Tribolium castaneum: one gene and its partners. The protein of the gene in region 1 interacts with the protein of each later gene in a pairwise test. Links are inferred from orthologs where the notes say so. Each region holds a gene or a part of one and is shown in the gene's direction. Other genes may lie near its edges.

Region 1 (4,180 bases):
GTGATGTAGGACTGGCCCACAACTCGACTGCGGGGGATTTCGATAATTTCATAATTGCTGTGATTTTTTGTCTCTTCGAATTTTCTCACTTTGGCGTAACTGGTTGTGTCGGTTTTTGCCATGATGTAATATCTGGGCGAATATTTTGCAAAGTCTAGGCTTGCCATAAGGGTTAGCATTTCAGTGGTGTGCCCCCCTGAACCAATGCAGATGACTGTCCTGCAGGGGGTTACTCTTTTACTGGACGCTTCGCGACTAAAACCAGTCGTTATCTTGTGGACTAGGTACAAAATCCTGGCCAGGATTAAAACGGCGATTAAAATCGCCAATTCAATTTTTAACTGATCTGAAAATTTAAAATTCGATTATAACTGTAAAACACGTTTGATTTTTCGGTTACCTTCCATGTCTCCAGGCTAGCTTCCTGCGATGGTTTCTGAAAAATGGAAAGTTATTGAAACATCAATTAAATAAGAGGACGACATAAAAATCCACAAAAAATCATCACAAAAGTCCCCAAATATATACCAAAATTTGAAAGCCATAAATTACAAAAAATAGCTTTAAAAAACTGCTGTCATAAGACCTTGAGGCAGTCGTTATTTATTCGTGCCTCAAAACTTATGAAAGTGCTTTTTAATATACAGTCGGTACCCTTTATTTTATTTTTTTTCAAATGTAGGTGATTTTTTTATCATTTCTCTTCAATTCCTTTTAATTAAAATATTGAAAATGATTTCAAAACCAACAAAAATAGTATCTGGAGATTCTAATGGCATTCTAAAGGATACGGTGTTTAAATGATGTTCTTTCCAGACAATATAATACTTTAAGAAAATTGTTAATAACCGAAAAAACATTTATTTGTTGTGTAGCTCACATAATAGTAATTAATTAGATACTATAACTTTTTCTCCAGCATCACACTGTACGAATATTTCATGATTTTACTCATAAATGGCAAAGCAAATTCAAATTAAGGTATTCTTAAACCATCACAAAGTCCAAAAATTGAGAATTTTTGAAAATTGAAAAATCAGGTGATCCTTGGCGATTGTTGAGTAGTGTAAATTATTACAATTAAAACACAATAAACCTATCATTTTTATCTTATTTGACTTCACTATCACCTATTACCTAAAATTATGACATCCTGTGGATTGGGCACATCCCTGGGGGGCCGGGGGTTGGGACCTGGGGCACGGCGTTCGCAGGGTTAGATTATCGGCAGAGCATCGGCGCACGCGCCAGTCGATGGTGCCTGTGCTTAGAGGTTATATTTTTGGTTTTTTCTGTGTTTATAGAACTCCTTCCGTTCCAAAATGAATTGACCCTTCCCTCAGTTCGCATTCATTGTTTTCTTTCTTAATTGGCGTGAAAATGTCGAAAGTGAAAGTGAGTAACGAATGGAAGCGTCACGTGAAGCAAGAATACATCCGTTTGAGACAACAAAAGAGGTTCAAAAGAGCGGACGACGTGAAACTAGCATGGAACCAGAACCGGATCAAAATGACCGAAAACCTGATCGCCGAGCAGAAGCGCTGGACTGAGAGCAAAGCCTTCTGGGTGCCCCTGCCCGAGATCCCCTCGCATGTGACTTGCATGAAAAAGGCGGAAGTTATCGGGAATGAAGGTTGTTTGATCCCAGTTGTTGTCTCCAAGATGCTATGTTAGTTTCAGGCGATATACAGGTCACCCCCATTCGGATTATCAACGCGGTGACTCCCATCCCGACCATGTACACGTGGGCCCCCATCCAGCAGAACTTCATGGTGGAGGACGAAACTGTCCTGCATAACATTCCATACATGGGCGATGATTTACTGGACCAGGACGGGACGTTTATCGAAGAACTTATCAAAAATTACGATGGGAAAGTGCACGGGGACCGGGAGTCGGGATTTATCGATGATGAGCTTTTTGTGGAGCTGGTGCACGCGTTGATGCAATACCAGGACAGCGACAAAGGGGAGAAAAAAGACAAGGACAAGGAAAAGACCAAAGAAGAGGAAAAGAAAAAGGGGCTCGATTTTCCAGCTTTTATTATATTCCAAGCGATTTCGTCGCAGTTTCCCGATAAGGGGGACCCAGAGGAGTTGAGGGAAAAGTACGATGTTTTATTATATTTTTTACAGGCTTTTCCAGCGAGTTGGTAATATTCATTTTACATTATACGTGTATATAATTTCACAGCGTGAAGTTTTAATTTTGAAACTCGAGCTTTAACGAAACTGGACGCTGTATAATATCTAACGCACAAACAATTTGGTCATTTTTCGATCAATTCACATTTCGAGCAGAAAAAAAAGTGTTTACTTTTTAATCTTCTCACAGCATTAATGAGTTCATTTATCATAAAATATTGTTCTGAGGTCTCTGAAAAATTTTCATGTTATTTTACCGCACTGTATGCTTGAACAAAATAAATAAAAAAGTGTAAAGAAGTCCAACAAAAAAATTTTGAATAACACTCATACGAAAACGCTTAAAGTTAAAGTATTTAGGTAAGTAACTCGCATCTGCTCGTTGCATAACGACAGCTACTCTTGTGTTTTCGCACTCATATTATTAATAACTTATATTAAATAATGTCAAAATAATTGTCCAGACAGTAGGCTATGTTTATCGGTAAGCTACGATACAAATATGCTTTTTTTTAATGAAACACTCGGCTTTTGGCATTTGGAAGTAACGTTTAATATTAATGTTTTTAAGGGTAAACTTTTATTGTTGTGCTTGTTTTTTTGACGAAAACACATTTAACAAAATAATTATATCAAATCCAAGAATACGATTAAAAAAAATCAGTTGAGTCAGATTAGAGGAGAAAGAAAAAAACTTTGATGTTTTGACATTTTTTTGAAAAGTTCCAGTCAAGAAGTTTTTTATTTTTTACTTTTGCATGTTAAAGTTTTTTAAGTTCCCTTTAAAACCACAATCATTTAAGTGCGTCTTAATAATTACAAAGAAGATATAACTTTAAACAAAAAATTGTATTATTAATTTGTAAAATAGTTAAATTGAACTACAACCGCAAAGAAAAAGGGCAAGAGGAGTCTAACTTTTTTTTAGAAGAACCAAAGGATTATGTAATAGAATAATTTATTTGACTGTTTCGAGAAATGTCTTGAAAAATACATGTTTTTTACCGTTTTTCTTTAAAACATTAAAATGTTACTTAAGTTTTCTCTGAAATAAAGTCGAATTGTCAATAATAATTGTCAACGTTTGAAAATTAACTATAATTTTTTTCGAAGCTCTAATCTATGCACGAACACAAATTTACAAATAGTTTACGCTTATTTCAGTACACAATATCATAGCCTAGTTTTTTGTTAATTTAAATAAATTCAAATTTAAACGATTTAATTATAAAATAAAAAAATAAAAGGTAACAGATAAACGGAGTGTTAAACGTCCTTTGAATGCTTTATCCCTGGTTGAAAAAATAACTGATGGAGAACTTATAATGAAACGATTGTTACACAACGTTTCGTCCACTATACCACATACATCATCAGGCTAGAAATAATACATTTGTATAAAAAATGGAAAAAAAATATTGTGCGACCTTCTTTGCGTGTGTTGAATCTACTATCTTTTTTAAATTCCATAATGTCATTTTTTTCCATTTGATGATGTCTGTGGTATAATAGACGCAACGTTGTGTAACAATCATTGTTTCATTAAAGTTTTCCACCAGTTATTTTTTCAATCTACATTTGAAATTTTGTTTTTAGAAAAACACAAAATAACACACAAATAACAAACGTTTTCACTTTTTTATGTTCTTAATTGCAGTGCGTTAACGAACTACTACAGTTTTAAACTTGAAAATTTCCCTTTGCAGTGGTGGAAACTGTGGCACTCTTAGTTTTTGTGTATTTCATTAAAAAAATTGTTTCCGTCAAATAAAATAACTACTGTAAAATAGCAGAATCAACAAAAAAAATCAACAAAATCATCAGTACTTATTGATAACTACGTTAAAAATACAATAAAATATAGGGTGATTAATACTTTTACACTTGAAAATAATTTGATTTATTACTTTTTTTATGGTACTTTACCAACTTCGCTGGGTGGGACCCTGATTATTTTTTCCCTAACTTGCCTGGTTTAGGTACATTGAACTGACCGAACGGACCGACCCCAACGCGCCCCCTGAATGCACCCCAAA
Region 2 (4,475 bases), about 24 Mb from region 1:
AAATGAATTTGATAAAAAAAATTAATTTGGTATGCAACCACATATACAGCACCATAATTGTGGTCAACCTACTATTAATAACTGTTCTTTTTTTAGAAAGTAAATCGGTAACAAAAATGTGTAATAGAAAAGAATTACGTCTAATTTGAACCTTTTTTGACTATTTCGTGTAAAATATCAATATTAATATGCTTGTTTCTGACAAAAAAACTATAGAAAACCCAACAATGAGAGTCTGTTTAAACAACATTTTTTTTTATTAAGAAACATTCTTAAATACACAAAGCAAAACCACGTAATGTGCAACATTTCATCTTATTTTAAAAAAATTTGCTTTCTAAAAAGCTAGATTTGTGTTTAAAGCGGTTTCGCTGCTTTAAACTCTCAAATATTATTAATTTTTTTAAATTTATGGGCCGGTTTATAAAAGGCTCTGTTAAAATTGAATTCGTTGTTAAAAGTTAACAACGCGAATGAACCAACCAAATGACTTCAATTTGGTCACGTAATCAGTTAATCACGCATTTTATAACTGATTAAATTAATGACGTTTTTATAAACCGGTCCTATGATTAGTTATGATAATTAAACTAGTTTACAAAAAATTTTTTCTTTTACCAAGAAATAATTTATACTGATTTTGTTTTCTTCTCACTCACTAATAACGTAATAACTAAAATATATCTCACATTTGTCTATCACGTCTTGTTTTTTTAATATATTCACTAAAAGTTTTGAAAATATATTCGTTGTTTCTGTGATAAACTAATAGTTAAACATTGTATTTGCTTTAAAATATCGTCAAGTAAATGTAGATTAAGCCCAAACAACTTTTGTTTTTTTGTGGTAAAATTATCTTAGTAAAACCTGAAAAACTTAAAGGCAAGAAATAAGAATTTCTCAGTTTCGAATGTAAAGGGAAAAATGTTTAGGAATGCAACCCCTTAATTATTTCTAACTAAGTGTAAAGAAGAATTTAGAACTTGCTCTACTGAAAACTGCTAACCAATCTTCATAACATATAATTGTTGTTTTCTTCGATAAATAAGTTTTTTACAGTAGAGGCTTCCTTTTTCATGAGAATTTTTGTATGAAAAGCTGATTTTTGTTCATTAGTTAATGTGGCATTATTAGCGGTGTAGTTAGAAAAAACAGTTCTAAGGAACAAAGTTGTGGTGAATTATCTTCTACGATTCAGGTATTATTTAATTTTCCATTATTCGAACATTGGTAAAAAACCGTCTTCAACGTTTTTGGGACCCCTTCGGTTGAAAATCACAGCTTTCTTGATTAATGAAGGGTCAAGGGACTTTCCCTTCGTTAATCAAGGAAGCTGTGGATATGGTCTTAAGGACTCTTCTAAAGAAAAGAGATGGCGCTACGTAAGGAGAGTTTTTTTAAGTTAGGAGAATCAACTCCAACAATGAAAAAGAAAGCTTTGTTACGGCCTTAATGGTGGCATTACAATGCAAAAACGAAAAGAATCACCCTGTTTATTTTTTAGTAGGGAAATTCAACTTTACACTAAATCGCCACCGGTGCTAGGTTGGCGTCCTTGCTGCGGGAACAACGGTGCCATTTGCAAAGCGGCGTGTTGTGCTACCGCCGTAATTCTAATAATTTAAACAAATTGTTACAAAGTGAACAGTGATTTGTAATAATTAAAGCCAAAGTAATTAAAAACAATTTAGTTTTCTACAGTACAAGATGGCCACACAACCTCACAGTCGGAAACGTGTTTGTTACTATTACGACAGTAAGTAGCCACCAATTTCAGCCAAACATGAATTATTCCACCATTTTGGGGCGTTTGTTTTTGAAATTTGCCAACAAAATGCATGCGTTTGCTTAATTTTGTGTCGTATCGTGCTATCATGTAAATACGATTTTCGAAACCGTAAGCCTGGAAATTCACGGTAGACTACGGTCGCGGTATTTTTGCTCGGTGCTGATTGGTTAGCTTGGTTTATGATGAGATGATGACGCTTTTTTGTACGGTGTTACGATGGCGAATGTTATTAGTCCATCGTGAATTTTGATTCAATTCTGATAATTTTGAATTGTTAGGCGATATTGGGAATTACTATTATGGGCAAGGACACCCCATGAAGCCCCACCGCATAAGGATGACCCATAATTTGCTGCTCAATTATGGTCTGTACAGAAAAATGGAGATTTATGTGAGTATTTAATTTCCATGAATTGTTGGTGTTATTTAGTTTTGACTTTCCCAGCGCCCCCATAAAGCCACTGCCGAAGAAATGACCAAGTTTCACTCGGATGACTACATTCGATTTCTCAGATCCATCCGACCTGACAACATGTCTGAGTACAACAAACAAATGCAGAGGTTTAATGTAGGGGAGGACTGTCCTGTCTTTGACGGTTTGTACGAATTCTGCCAACTCTCAGCTGGGGGCTCAGTGGCGGCAGCTGTTAAATTGAACAAGCAAGCGTCCGAAATTTGCATCAATTGGGGCGGGGGTTTGCATCACGCGAAAAAATCCGAAGCTTCGGGCTTTTGCTACGTAAATGATATTGTTCTGGGGATTTTGGAGCTGTTGAAGTACCACCAACGCGTGTTGTACATCGATATTGACGTGCACCACGGTGACGGTGTCGAAGAGGCTTTTTACACCACTGACCGGGTGATGACAGTCTCGTTCCACAAATACGGTGAGTATTCTAAAAATAAGACAAAGGGGCGAAACGAGATACAAAATAACTCGATGTTTTTACCAAAAATTTAGTCCCCCAGAGCATCAGTGCTCCATAGCATCGTTTTGGTTTCATTTAAATTAATTTAAACTCAACCGGTTCACTATTTGTCTGAGAAAAATGTGCTGTTCTAGGGGAAAAACATTATTGAAATGTTTTTAAAACGTTGCAAATACGGTTAGTAAAATACAAAGAGGTGTATAAGTATTAAAGCAAACTGTTCGAAACATTTTTTATATGTCGAGAATTACTTAAATATTTTGTTGTAAAATTTTCTTCTAATACGGTCAGAAGTTTCCAACAAAGGATGAAAATTGTATTACTCTGAATAATTCAGCTAACTTAAAGTCGTTTTATAGATGAAAAGCATTTTTTTAAGAAATCTCATCGAATAAAGGCAAAGAATGTGTTTGCTTTTTTTAATACCTACTTAAACACATTTCTAAGGTAAAAATTCACTTTTCTTGCTTAGTTTTATATTACTTTTGCCTTTGTTTTTGTCAAAAAAAAAAAACAAAAATGAAGATCGGAAATGATTTTATTTTGGCTTTTTTGTTCTTGTTTTGAGTGATTTTCTTTGTTTTTTTTTTCACAATTGCTTTAATAACTCGGTAATTTTCTGAAATTTATATATTCTTTGGACATTTTTAGTTCTAGTTTTATTTATTAGTTTCAATCAATTTAACATTTTGCTTAAATAGGTTTAAAAAGGATTATCAGTGGACATCGAATATCCATTTTTGCCTTTCTTCAGCATTTTGATTAAAAACATACCTATTTCTCATAAATTGGTTACAACAGGACCAAAAATCATTAGTAATCTAAGCGAGAAACTCACTGTGAAATGACCACTTTTGTATGACTTCGTTAAACACTCCGAACATTTTCTTTATTATGATTTCGTTGTTTGTATGATTTCGTTAAACACTTTGAACAATTTCTTTATTACGTAGAAAATTACGGTATTTTTATTATTAAACAAGTAAGTATTAAACAAGTGTAAGATGATTTTACTTTTTTCGTAAAACTGCATTAAAACGCCAAAAATAATTTAATTACGTTTGAAATACCGGATTTTTATTTTAAATATGCAAAACTTTGTCAGAAGACCAATGAATGATCTTGATAGTTGTCGTTCCTTTCGGTGGGCTTACGGTGACTTGTTAAAACAAGATGAGAAATTATTTGATACGTCGGAAATGACGTGAATTTTGAGCGAAAGGTCGAAAATAATGTGAATTATTTTGATCAGTTTTTCTAGAATTGGGTCGTTTTTTTTTTGTAAAATTTGAAGTACAAATGCCGAACATATCACATAATTATTATTTTACCTATAATTAGGTATATATTATTTTTGCTTTTAAGCACACTTCTCACTTTTCTGTTGAAATTTCGCTCAAATAGAGCAAGTGATTATCAATAAAGTTATCGAATATTACGTCACTTTGATTTTTTTCCACTTACTCATAGTAATTCGCATTAATTCGCTAGAATAACAGGCCAAAAAAATCACAAATGAAGGTAGGGAATGACATTACTTTGGTCTTTTTCGCCATACATATTTATGTGGGAAACTAAGATTTGTTGCAATTTTGTCAATAAATGAAACTAGATGAAAATTGACGCTCTTGTGGCCTTTTTAGAATAATGTAAGATGTAAGTCATTTTGTAATTTTTATTCTTCTGTATTTATTTGAAGAGAAAGGTACTTAACTATTGTGTTTAAACCCATTTTGCTTACGCTCTGCAGTGTTTCT
Region 3 (2,789 bases), on another chromosome or scaffold:
GGGGGCAGCTCCTGTCCGAATTTCCTTAATTCCAGACAGGTCGTATTGTTTAGTAAGTGGGTGTTTCAGGAGCACCAACATGACAGGTGGTGGTACAACAAGTCGCGAAATTTTGTACTTTATGATAGCGTCTAGGAAAATTTTGGTTTTGAAACGACTCAAAACAACCATTTTTTTGCCGCGTAACAAATTCAAAAACATTAACATGAAACCCATTGAGTGGAAAAATGGGGCGAGACCCATCATGGCGTCGCTGGGATCGTCATTTTCGATTATTTGTGCCATGGTAACCCTAATGACAGTCCAATATAACAATTGAAAAAATGACTAAAAAATCACCTCATTATGTCAACATAGGTGGTCATGCTTTCATGGGTGCACATCACACCCTTTGGCAAACCAGTGGTCCCTGACGACATTAAAATCGTGGCAATGGCGTCTTTGGGGTCCACTGGTGTGGCTTCAAAACTTTCGTCAATGTTGTCACCGGTGGCGCCTAAATATCAATGCATTTTTACTATATATGTTACGACACTCGCCTTCGGCTTGTGCCTCAAAATTACCTCTGATAATATCCTCATGCATTATAACGTAACTCTCGTTACGTTTCTGCGCCCCAAAAAGCACCAAATGTGTGAGATTTGGATGATCGGCGAAAACTTTAGTCATAGTTTGAATCGTTTGAGGCGAACAAAAAATGACTTTGGGTTTTGAAAGTTGGAGAACGTGGTTTAATTCGCCTGAAAGCGATAAACTTATCAATTATTTTATTACCAAAGTTCAAGAGCATTCACCTGGAGTATATTCAGGGTTTAAAGGGGCAAAAACAGCGCCAACGAAAAACGTGGCCACTGTCACAACGGCGAATTCTAACCGATTTTCGCTATTTACCGAAATCGAATCTCCTTCTTTAACCCCAATACTGCGTAACCATTTTGCGAGTTGAATCGAACGACTTAGTAATAAATTAGCTGGCAATTCTTCGTCAGTTGCGGCATCAACCTATACGTTTTTTTGCCACAAGGGTGGTAAAAATAATTACTTACTTACTTGTAAGACATTATCACAGTGTGTTTTCAGTAAAAGTAGCAATAATTCACCTAAGGAACCTTCAATGAAGCGCTCAACTTCTGGGCCTACGATTACATTAGGGTCCGTTTGGGCCATTTTTTTTTTGGAACTGGAACACTAGTGAACTGAATGAAATAACAATCAAAGTGCGAATGATGAGTTTTATCTTTTTTATTGTTTTCAAACGTTGGACTTGTAGATAGGTATGCTAATTCAAAAATATGCTTACAATGCGTTTTGAAATTACAGTTCATCAAAACAACAACTGATCATAATTGTAATTACGCGAAAATAATTGTATAAAGGGCAAAAATGACTCACCTGGTACTACCGGAATCTCTGTCCTGACATAACTTTTGAATAGGTTATGTGAACGTCAATAAAGTCATCCGATTCTCTCGACCTATCACCAGACGCGAGACAAAGATGGGTGGTTGGACGATACAATGTGCTAGAAAAAGAAACGCAATAATGGGAGTAGGGCGTGGGTTCAAGCGCCCTCTGTCAACTGTAAACAAGTGTTAACCTTATTTTTTACAAGTGACAAAAACTGTTTATTTATTAATCAAAAACCATACTATGGCATCCGTGGATGTCGTAATCGAGGAAAAGAAAGACGATGCAGTGGATCGCCAAAAGGTACAACACCCCCAACTTGACTTTTTTTCCCAACTAAGTTTCCAGGTCTGTCCGTTTCTTTTACGCGTTTTTGTCTCGTCGAACGGTTACCACCACAAACCCACCGACTATAATAAAGGTAATACGCCCCAGAACGAGCTCCAAATCTACACATGGAAAGACGCAACTTTACATGAGTTAACCCAACTTGTCAAAGAAGTGAATCCAGAGGCACGGAGAAAAGGGACAAAGTTTAGTTTTTCGCTCGTTTTTCCCGATATGAGAGTCCCGATTTATCGAATGAGGGAAATAGGGAGCACAACTACAGGGATTAAGGGACCTGATGACTTGAAAACGCTAAGTCAAGCTAGATTTGCAATTGGGGATTTTATGGATATTGCCATCACGCCGGCCGATTCCTGGAACACAGGGGGCCGCAAGGGTTATGCTCAGAACTACAATAACCATCGGCAAAGGCCCTACTAGTGTAGTTAATTTTTATAAATAAAACTCATAAAACTTTATTTGGCATTTTTATTTTTCCTTTTGTGTTGTTGATAGTGGTAACCCGTAGTAACCAAACATGGTCAGGCAACCAGTTATATATAATTCCTAATTTATTATTTTTAACAAATAATGGCATTTAATTTAACACTAAACCTAAGGTCCAGGCCTGAATTGGGGCTTCCTGGGCTGTGTCTGAATTTGTTGTCTTTCGGGCGGTAAATCTTCGTCTTCTTCCGGTTCATCGCATTTGTTCCCCGTTTCGTACGTGTATTCCCTGCGGACACCATCAGGGTCGACGTAACCGTACTTCCCCCGTGTTACACAATCAATCCCCAACGTTTCTTCCTTAAACGTACCATCTTCATTCTCGTAGCCCCAGGTTATGCTACCATCGGGATTATCAGTTCGGTATTTGCGCAAAATTTGTACTGGGGGTTTACGGGTTCTTTGACGGACGCCGTCTTCGTCGAGGTATTGCGAGGGTTGGCGGGCGGGGTGGTGCCCGCGGGTGGGCTGACGCACTGGGGGCGGGGGCGGCGGTGTTGGAACGTGCTGGCGCACCTAAATATTATAATTAAAATAAAGAAACAAAA

Evidence for each region.
Region 2: the proteins of E(z) (region 1) and HDAC1 interact in binary tests that used the Drosophila melanogaster proteins (3 or more experiments, as listed by UniProt). The link is inferred for Tribolium castaneum from reciprocal best matches to the Drosophila melanogaster genes E(z) and HDAC1.
Region 3: the proteins of E(z) (region 1) and Bin1 interact in binary tests that used the Drosophila melanogaster proteins (3 or more experiments, as listed by UniProt). The link is inferred for Tribolium castaneum from reciprocal best matches to the Drosophila melanogaster genes E(z) and Bin1.

What each region holds. Positions count from the first base shown.
Region 1 is NC_087394.1:34,717,651-34,721,830, forward strand, and holds the start of E(z) (histone-lysine N-methyltransferase E(z)), read left to right. Parts: upstream 1-1,380; coding exon 1,381-1,633; intron 1,634-1,680; coding exon 1,681-2,107; intron 2,108-4,123; coding exon 4,124-4,180. Other genes in the region: UDP-N-acetylglucosamine transferase subunit ALG14 homolog, read right to left, coding at 1-346, 401-407. UniProt on the Drosophila melanogaster protein: Polycomb group (PcG) protein. Catalytic subunit of the Esc/E(z) complex, which methylates 'Lys-9' and 'Lys-27' of histone H3, leading to transcriptional repression of the affected target gene.
Region 2 is NC_087394.1:10,697,927-10,702,401, forward strand, and holds the start of HDAC1 (histone deacetylase HDAC1), read left to right. Parts: upstream 1-1,524; 5' UTR 1,525-1,707; coding exon 1,708-1,756; intron 1,757-2,067; coding exon 2,068-2,180; intron 2,181-2,234; coding exon 2,235-2,676; intron 2,677-4,475. UniProt on the Drosophila melanogaster protein: Catalyzes the deacetylation of lysine residues on the N-terminal part of the core histones (H2A, H2B, H3 and H4).
Region 3 is NC_087397.1:433,616-436,404, forward strand, and holds Bin1 (histone deacetylase complex subunit SAP18), read left to right. Parts: upstream 1-1,570; 5' UTR 1,571-1,650; coding exon 1,651-1,710; intron 1,711-1,755; coding exon 1,756-2,175; 3' UTR 2,176-2,213; downstream 2,214-2,789. Other genes in the region: uncharacterized protein LOC662698, read right to left, coding at 1-292, 340-496, 564-740, 795-1,002, 1,051-1,167; uncharacterized protein LOC662631, read right to left, coding at 2,350-2,757. UniProt on the Drosophila melanogaster protein: Involved in the tethering of the SIN3 complex to core histone proteins. Interacts with bicoid (bcd) to repress transcription of bicoid target genes in the anterior tip of the embryo; a process known as retraction.